Oryctolagus cuniculus: one gene and its partner. The protein of the gene in region 1 interacts with the protein of each later gene in a biochemical or structural test. Links are inferred from orthologs where the notes say so. Each region holds a gene or a part of one and is shown on either strand. Other genes may lie near its edges. The genes, in order: BCL2 and NR4A1.

Evidence for each region.
Region 2: the proteins of BCL2 (region 1) and NR4A1 form a complex in vitro, tested with the Homo sapiens proteins (2 studies listed by BioGRID). The link is inferred for Oryctolagus cuniculus from reciprocal best matches to the Homo sapiens genes BCL2 and NR4A1.

The regions. Positions count from the first base shown.
Region 1 is NC_091441.1:15,291,246-15,295,669, forward strand, and holds the start of BCL2 (apoptosis regulator Bcl-2), read left to right. Parts: upstream 1-1,393; 5' UTR 1,394-1,530; coding exon 1,531-2,076; intron 2,077-4,424. UniProt on the Homo sapiens protein: Suppresses apoptosis in a variety of cell systems including factor-dependent lymphohematopoietic and neural cells. Regulates cell death by controlling the mitochondrial membrane permeability. Appears to function in a feedback loop system with caspases.
Region 2 is NC_091442.1:55,366,852-55,370,650, forward strand, and holds part of NR4A1 (nuclear receptor subfamily 4immunitygroup A member 1), read left to right. Parts: intron 1-35; exon of another isoform or gene 36-289; intron 290-2,897; coding exon 2,898-3,775; intron 3,776-3,799. UniProt on the Homo sapiens protein: Orphan nuclear receptor. Binds the NGFI-B response element (NBRE) 5'-AAAGGTCA-3'. Binds 9-cis-retinoic acid outside of its ligand-binding (NR LBD) domain.

The DNA of each region.
Region 1 (4,424 bases):
CCATGTGTGCCCGGCGGGCCCCGGCCGGCCGCGGCGCCTTTAACCGGGGAAGGGGAGCGGGGCGGAGGGGGGGGCCGTCGGGCGGCTCAGAGGAGGGCTCTTTCTTTCTTCTTTTTTTGAATGAACAGTGACGTACGTACAGGAAACCAGTCGGTTTGTGAGGAGAATGAAGTCAGCGGCCAGGCCCCCGCCCGCCCCCTTCCTCCCCGCCCCCGCCCCTCCTCCGCGCGCCGCGCGCCCGCCCGCCGGCCCGCCCGCCCGCCGCTCCCGGGGTCCCCGCCGCGCCGCCGCCGCCGCCCGCGAAGGTGCCCGGGCGCCGGGCCCCCCGCCAGCGGCCGTCAGAGCGCGGAGCTGCCGCACGGCGCGACCGGAGGAGGCGGCGGCCGCCGCCGCCAGCGCCCCGGCGCGGGAGCGGGCGGAGCAGAAAGGGTGCGCAGCCCGGAGGCGGGTGCGCCGGCGGGTGCAGCGGAAGAGGGGTCCAGGGGGGCGAACTTCGTAGCAGTCATCCTTTTTAGGAAAAAGAGGGAAAAAAAAAATAAAACCCTCCCCCGCTCCCCACCCTGGCCGCACCACACACGGCGCGGGCTCCTCGCGAGGCCGGCGCGTCCTGCCTTCATTGATCCGCAGCTTTTCGGAAAACGCGTCGGCTGCTCTCGGAGTTGAATCAGAAGAGGACCCCGCGCCGGCCGGGCCCCGTCGGCGTCCGGGGCAGAGTCCGCGCCGTGCCCGCGCGGCGCGCGCGCCTGTCAGTGGCCGAGGGGAGCCCGGACGGAGCGCGCTCCGGAGCTCGGGGCCGGATTCCTGCGGATTGACGTTTCTGAGGAGCAGAAACCCGGGGGCCAGCCTGGAGACCCCCCCGCCCCGGGGTGCCTACACCCGCGCCCGCCGCCTCCCGATTCATTCGGAAGTTTCCAAGCGGCTCTCACCCGGGAGCTCCGAAGATTGATGGGATCCTTGCCTTATGCGTTTGTTTTGGTTTTGCAGAGAAGGAAACTGGACAGAGGGTCATGCTGTCCTTTAAAAACACAAGTAAGTTCTTTGCGCAGCAGATCGGGCTCGCGTAACTTTCGGTGGCGGCACTCGAGATGCTAACTCGGAGTGCCTTCGAGTAAATGTGAATTTTCAGGCAGTTGAATGCGTTGTTTTTAGCCGTGTGGCCCGCAGCGTGCATGCCCCCGCTTTCTCTCCGTGTGTGCCGGAGAACGCACCTGAGTTTGGCTTAACCAGGTTTTGTTTTTGTTTGTTTGCCTTTTTTTTTTTTCCAACCTTCTAGCATCACGTAGGGAAAAGACTGGCGTTCACCACGCTTATGAATGATAACGTGCCTCGTGAAACAGAGATCCGAAAGGGATTTGAGTAAAAATCTCCTGCGCCTGCTGCCAACGGGGAAACACCAGAAGCGAGGGCTCCGCGTGACTGAAGACACCCCCGCGCCCGAGGATGCGGCGCGCGCCCGGGAACCCCGCCGGCTTCTGAGCGGGCCCGTGCGGCGGGACGCGGCCGGAGGCACCGCGGGCGCCCAAGGGCAGCATGGCGCACGCCGGGCGAACAGGGTACGACAACCGGGAGATCGTGATGAAGTACATCCACTATAAGCTGTCCCAGAGGGGCTACGAGTGGGACGCTGGGGACGCGGGCGCCGCCTCCGCGCCGGGCGTCTTCTCCTCCCAGCCCGCGCCCGCTGCGCCCCGGGACCCGGCCGCCAGGACCTCGCCGCCGCCGCCGCCGGCCGCCGCGGGGCCCGCGCTCAGCCCGGTGCCACCTGTGGTCCACCTGACCCTCCGCCAGGCGGGCGACGACTTCTCCCGGCGCTACCGCCGCGACTTCGCGGAGATGTCCAGCCAGCTGCACCTGACGCCCTTCACCGCGAGGGGGCGCTTTGCCACGGTGGTGGAGGAGCTCTTCAGGGATGGGGTGAACTGGGGGAGGATTGTGGCCTTCTTTGAGTTCGGTGGGGTCATGTGTGTGGAGAGCGTCAACCGGGAGATGTCGCCCCTGGTGGACAACATCGCCCTGTGGATGACTGAGTACCTGAACCGGCACCTGCACACCTGGATCCAGGATAATGGAGGCTGGGTAGGTGCCTGTCTGGTTGCACGTGAGTCTGGGCTTGCGGTCGCAGGTCCGAGATGCCGTGGCGAGGGTGTGGGTGGACCCCGGGGGCCGGGGCAGACTGCAGAGCCCGTGAGCTAACAGCAGGTGTGTCACTTTCCCTGCTTTCCCTCCAGCGCGCCCTGCAGGAAGCGCACCCTGCCCTCCCAGCTAGGGCAACTGCTTCCCGCCAAAAGTGGTGTGCCAGCCCTGGAGGCTCCCAGATGCTGCCTTTGCGGCCCAGTAGGATTTTGTGATGCATGGTCCTGCCTTCCCGTGCTTCTCAAACTGGGGCTGCGGAGTCCCCAGCACCACAGTTACGTGGCCTGGGTAGTTGAAATCGCAGGTTTCAGGGACTTGGTGTGGACCAGACACACCGCGCATCCCACGACCACCACCACCCCAGGGCGAGGCCCTGGCAGTCTGCATCCTAAACAGGCTCCCCTGGTGGATTTGTCTTTGTCCTAAAAGTTGTAAGCCACCCCATCGAAGAACAGACTCCCCCAGAGGACCAAGAACATGTTTGCCTCACTGGGTAAAAACTGCCCCAGAGGAAGCCCAGTGTAACCCCTTTCCCTGAAGGTCTTAGCTGTGTTTGTGAAGAGGTAAGTGGACGTAGGGAGAGCCGGGGGAGTGTTCACCTGCTGGTCGGGCCGTGACCCAGTGGACACGATGGTGTGCATTGAAGGGCAGCAGTCTGTGGATGCGCTGCGTCCTCTTGTCAGTGATGGGGTTTGGATTGGCTGCAGACTTTGTGTGCTGTCCCTTGTGTCGCATTTAGAAGTTTCCTGGAGTTTTACCATCTCTTACATTTTACCACCTAGACGCCACATGATTTTGTGGTCTCTGCTTACATACACCACACACACTCACAGAGAAACTTGCACCTAGGGAAACTATGTAAAGCGTAGAAGAATTGATCTTTAGCTGTGGATTCTTTCATGCGCTGACCAGGGTTGAAGTGATGAGCAGCTGTGACTTTTAAGAACCTTGGTAAGACGCTTTTTCTCCCGCTCCGGGGCGGTTGCTAGATAGAGCTTCGATCCTGTTCACCACGCAGTTGTATTTTTCCATGATGCTCTGGGACTGGGGTGCGGATCCCAAGACTCAACGGTGCTTAATTAAGATTTCCATCTCTTACCTAAAAGGATTAATTTATGAGAAAGTAATCATTCTTGTCTGGAGTTTTGTTAAACTTTGTTTTTAGTCTGAAGAGTTATCTTGGAAGAAGGATGCATTTCTGTGAGCTCTTCTATAGTCTCTTAGGAGAATGACTCACATTATAGAACCTAATGGGATCCAAAAGCCTAGACGTGACTGCAAGAAGCACATTTCTTCATTTTTGCTCCATTTTTCAAAGTATGCTAATATTAAGGGGCCAAAAAGAGACGGGGCCAAGAAATGTAGGTGATTGATGTGGACATCTGATATTATTTGACCAAAGTTGACAAAATATTGATGCCACTGTTCAATGTTTGAATGTAAAATTAACTAAAATATCCCAATTTAAATCTCTAAAATTTAATGACTCTTTATGGATTGTTTGTTGAAATCCCACATTATCAGGTCTTTAGTGATTCTGGAGTAATTTGCTAAAGGATGAAAAGAATATTTTTGTTAAGTGTTTAGTTAAGCAGCTGGTTTGATTTTTAATCACCATAACCAAAGAGGAAGGGACTTGTAGACTCCGCAAGGATCATTCTAAAACCAAAGTAAAACTGATTTAATAGGTCTCCTGGTTCCTATTTTTCATAAAAAAAAAAAAGAAATCCATATTAAAAAAAAAGTTCTGTCTAGTTGAAAGAAATCCATGGTGGAAACCGCCATGTATCAAGCAAGTTAATAAAGTGGTAGGAAACAGACACATGTTTATGATGGAGATTAAGATAGAACCTTGATGTTTGTTGTTGAGCTGCAGTATGTTAATGTCTCATACAACTGAGGTTTCCTTTTAAATGAGGGCTCACTTTTTCTTCCTTTCACAATAGAGTTTTCGTTGTAGAGCCTATCTTTGTGGTCAACAGGTATCTGAGGTCGATAAATGCACAAGCTACATTTTATGATGCCAAACCACAATGACATTCTGTAGCACATGATAAAAATTTTTTGACAAAACCTCTTACAGTAAAAATAAATCATATAGAAGCACAAATGGCTGATGGTAAAATGTGTAATAGTTTTCAGAGCAACACGTAGATGGATGACTACAGGAAAACAAAGGAATTTGGCAACAAAAAAGAGTATAAATCAGGAAATGCAAACATATGTGGATACTCTGGAATAATAAAAGTGGTAGTATTTGAGAGTTATACATGATTTGCCTATCATTTCAA
Region 2 (3,799 bases), on another chromosome or scaffold:
CGGGCTCCCCGGGCCCGCGCCTCCCCCTGGCCGCCTCCCGCCGGAACCGCGCCGCCCCCCGCGCCCTTGTATGGCCAAACCTCGCCGGGCCGCGTGCGTCAGTGGCGCCCCCGCCCCTCCCCGTGCGTCACGGAGCGCTTAAGAGGAGGGTCTGGCGCTCCCGGGGAGCCCGAGTGGCAGAGGCTGCGAAAGTTAGGGGAGCGTGCAGAAGGGACCGCGAGAGCACACGCGGGACCGAGTCTGCGACTCGGGCCGAGGGTCCCGGGCAGGGCGAGCTGGAGCCGGCCGGGTAGGTGCCCCCCCGCGGGTAAAGTGCATCTGTTTTCTGGGCTGGTGCACGGGGTTGGGGGATGAGACGGGGGTACGCGCGGGCAGAAAGGCGCGCAGGGGCGCCCAGGGCTAGCTGTTGGAGCGGGGTGAGGACTCAGCAGCTCCGGCTGGAATCTACGGGGCGGGAGGAGAGGGGCTGTAGAACATGCAAGGTGGAAGCCACAGGCGTCGGAGTGCCTCTTAGAGCGGGGACTTGTCCAGCAGGCGACGGGCCTGAGTTCTGTCTCCGAGGAGACCCAAGTGGGCATACGGTGCTTTCGGCTTGGGCGCTGATGGGCATCTAGCTATAGGCGGTTAAGGTATCCAGAGCTTCGGTGCTACGGGTGATGGGCCCTGCAGGGGGTCGGCGGACTCCAGCCTGTCAGCCCTGTGCTCCTGCGGGCTCAGTTGCAGGGGGCTGCGTTAGGAGGTCTCTTAACCAGGGAGACTACTAGCTTGGTGGCTGGGCAGTGGAGGGTGCTTGTGCCTGCTGCGTGTTGGAATAAGTGAGTTTGCTTAGGGACAGGGGGGCAGGGTGTCTGCAAGATTGTTTTAACTGTGGCTTGGAGTGAGAATGTGTGTGTGTATTTGTGAGAGACAGAGTGGACATGCTTGTTCTGGGGGATCCTGCATGGAAGTTAGTAGCCTTGGAGTTTTGGTGTGGTGCTACCTGGGGGACCCTCCCCTCCTCCCAGGTCTACTTCCTGATCGCCTCTGCACCCCCTCTCCCAGTAGTCCCGGTTGGATCTTACAGGCAGGGTGCAGCCTGAGGCTTGCTTCGTCTAACAGGTGCAAACCATATTGTTGCCAAAACCTGCCTGAAGCCGGATTCTCCCCGCTCCCTCCCGCCTTCAACCCCACCTCTTCCTCCTTGCCGTGGGACTGCCCTCCCCTGCCCCTGCCCCCCCCCCCCAATCGGGAGGCTAGATGTGAGTCGTATCTTGTGTTCAGTACCTGCATGAAGGTGTGTATGTGTGTGTATCGGGGGGGGGGGGTTGGTGGGGGTTGATCCGGATGTGGGACGTCCCAGTGGAGAAACAGGATTTGAATAAGGCTGGAACAAACGCCCAGTTCTGCGTGGCTGCTGCCTTTCCTCCTCCACCCCCAACCCATCCCTGCCCAGGCTGTCCCGGGAAGGCAAACGTGGCCACACTTATCGGGCAGGTGCTGTATTTTTGTGGATGGGTGCCACTGGGTGGATAGAACTTGAGCTTCGAGGGGCTCTGCTGCCTGGGTTGGTTGTCTGAGTGTCAGGCTGGGGTGGAGCTGACTTGGTCAGGTCCTGGGAGGTAGAAGAAAGGCTAGGACCAGCAGCCTTCCTGGGCTGGTGGCCAGGGGGTGGGGACAGCCTCTGCCCTCATCGCTGTCCCGTTGATTATGGTACTCTGTGTTCTGGCTTGATTTCCTACCCAGTTTTGCCTCTCTGCCTGGTGAGCACAGAGGTGGGCACATCCCAGGCACGGTGGTGGAGACGGAGAGGGTCCTGGAGCCTATTGGGATTGCTTTGTGACTGCTCTGTGGGTCAGGCTGTTCAGGATTGGGGGGTGCGTGACCCCCTTTGCCTGCCTGCTAAGGGCACAGACTTTAATGGGGCGAACCCAGGCAGAAGGCATTTTCCCTTTACCCATCCGCCCACAGGCTCCCCCACCTTAAGTCTCCCACTGGACTCTTAGCAATTCTTAGTCAAATAGCCAGGGAGAGCAGAGAAATTCCTCATAGGGACTGCCCTTGCTTCTGGACCTGCAGAGGGCTGTGCCTGCTCCTGCCGGCTCCCCCTCCCTTGAACATATGGCCTTAAAGGGCTGGGAGCCAGGTTACGTGATCCCCTCGGGACATGGCGAGGAGGCCTGGGCGCCCTTCCTCACTGCCTCTGGGAGCATCCCAGGCAGTCCAGAGCGCATGCCCAGCCCCAGACGGCAGGCAGGACTGGGGTGCCTGTGGGCTCGGCTGCCTGTGCTCCGTACGTGGGACGGGGTGCGGATGGCTCCAGAGCGGCATCTATACCCGGGCTCCCTCCTTAGGCAGCCCTGCCTTCCATCTGGCTCCTCTGCCATTGCCAGAGTGTCCTTGTCCCCCAGCCCCGGGAGGCAGGGGCTTCTGCAGAGGCTGGGGTGTGCCTGCGAATGTTCCCCAGGAAGTGCCTGGTTGGTGAAGAGCAGCAACAGATCTGCTCTGGGGGTGCTGGGCTGGGGCTTTGCCAGGCTGCCCCTCCCACCCACCCTTCTCCCAGCCCGCACCCACGCTCTTCCCTGCTTGGGGAGGGGCAGGGGGCTGGGAACACAGCTCCCCCTGTTGCAGCAGAAAAACGCTGGCTGTGTGCCTCGCCCGGGGTTCCCAGGCCGGCTGGGTGTGGCTGGCCTTCCCACAGATCCCACTCTTCGCTGGGCCACTGCCCGGGGTCTTTGTGGCTAGAGTTGGACGTGGGGCCCCAGCCAGGGGGTCCAGGATCCTGGGCACTGTGGCCTCCTGCCTCAGTGTCCCTTCCTTGGGCTGCGACGCTGGCCAGGCCAGCTGCCTGGCTGCTCTGGGCTCAGCCTTCCGGGCCTGGCTTGGCTCACGGAAGTCCTTCCCCTCTCCTCTTTGTCCAGAGATGCCCTGTATCCAAGCCCAGTATGGGACTCCGGTGCCCAGCCCAGGACCGCGTGACCACCTGGCAAGCGACCCCCTGAGCCCCGAGCTCAGCAAGCCCACCATGGACCTGGCCAGCCCAGAGGCGGCCCCTGCAGCCCCCACTGCCCTGCCCAGCTTCAGCACCTTCATGGACAGCTACACAGGGGAGTTTGACACCTTCCTCTACCAGCTGCCGGGAACAGCTCAGCCGTGCTCCTCGGCCTCCTCCTCGGCCTCCTCCACGTCCTCGTCCTCGGCCACCTCCCCCGCCTCTGCCTCCTTCAAGTTCGAGGACTTCCAAGTGTACGGCTGCTACCCTGGCCCCCTGAGTGGCCCCCTCGATGATGCCCTGTCCAGCGGCTCCGACCACTACGGCAGCCCCTGCTCAGCCCCGTCGCCAAACACGCCCAGCTTCCAGGCACCCCAGCTCTCTCCCTGGGACAGCTCCTTTGGCCACTTCTCCCCCAGCCAGACTTACGACGGCCTGCGGGCATGGACAGAGCAGCTGCCCAAGGCTGCCGGGCCCCCACCAACCTTCTTTTCCTTCAGCCCCCCGACGGGTCCCAGCCCCGGCCTGGGCCAGAGTTCCCTGAAGTTGTTCCCGTCGCCATCGCAGGCCACCCCCCAGCTCGGGGAGGGAGAGGGCTACTCTGTGCCAGCGGCGGCTTTCCCGGGCCTGGTACCCACCTCCCCACACCTCGACGGCTCGGGGATGCTGGACGCGCCAGCGACCTCAGCCAAGGCCCGGAGTGGGGCTCCAGGTGGCAGCGAGGGCCGCTGCGCCGTGTGTGGGGACAATGCTTCGTGCCAGCATTATGGCGTTCGCACCTGCGAGGGTTGCAAGGGCTTCTTCAAGGTACTTGGCTGCCGGGGCGGGGGT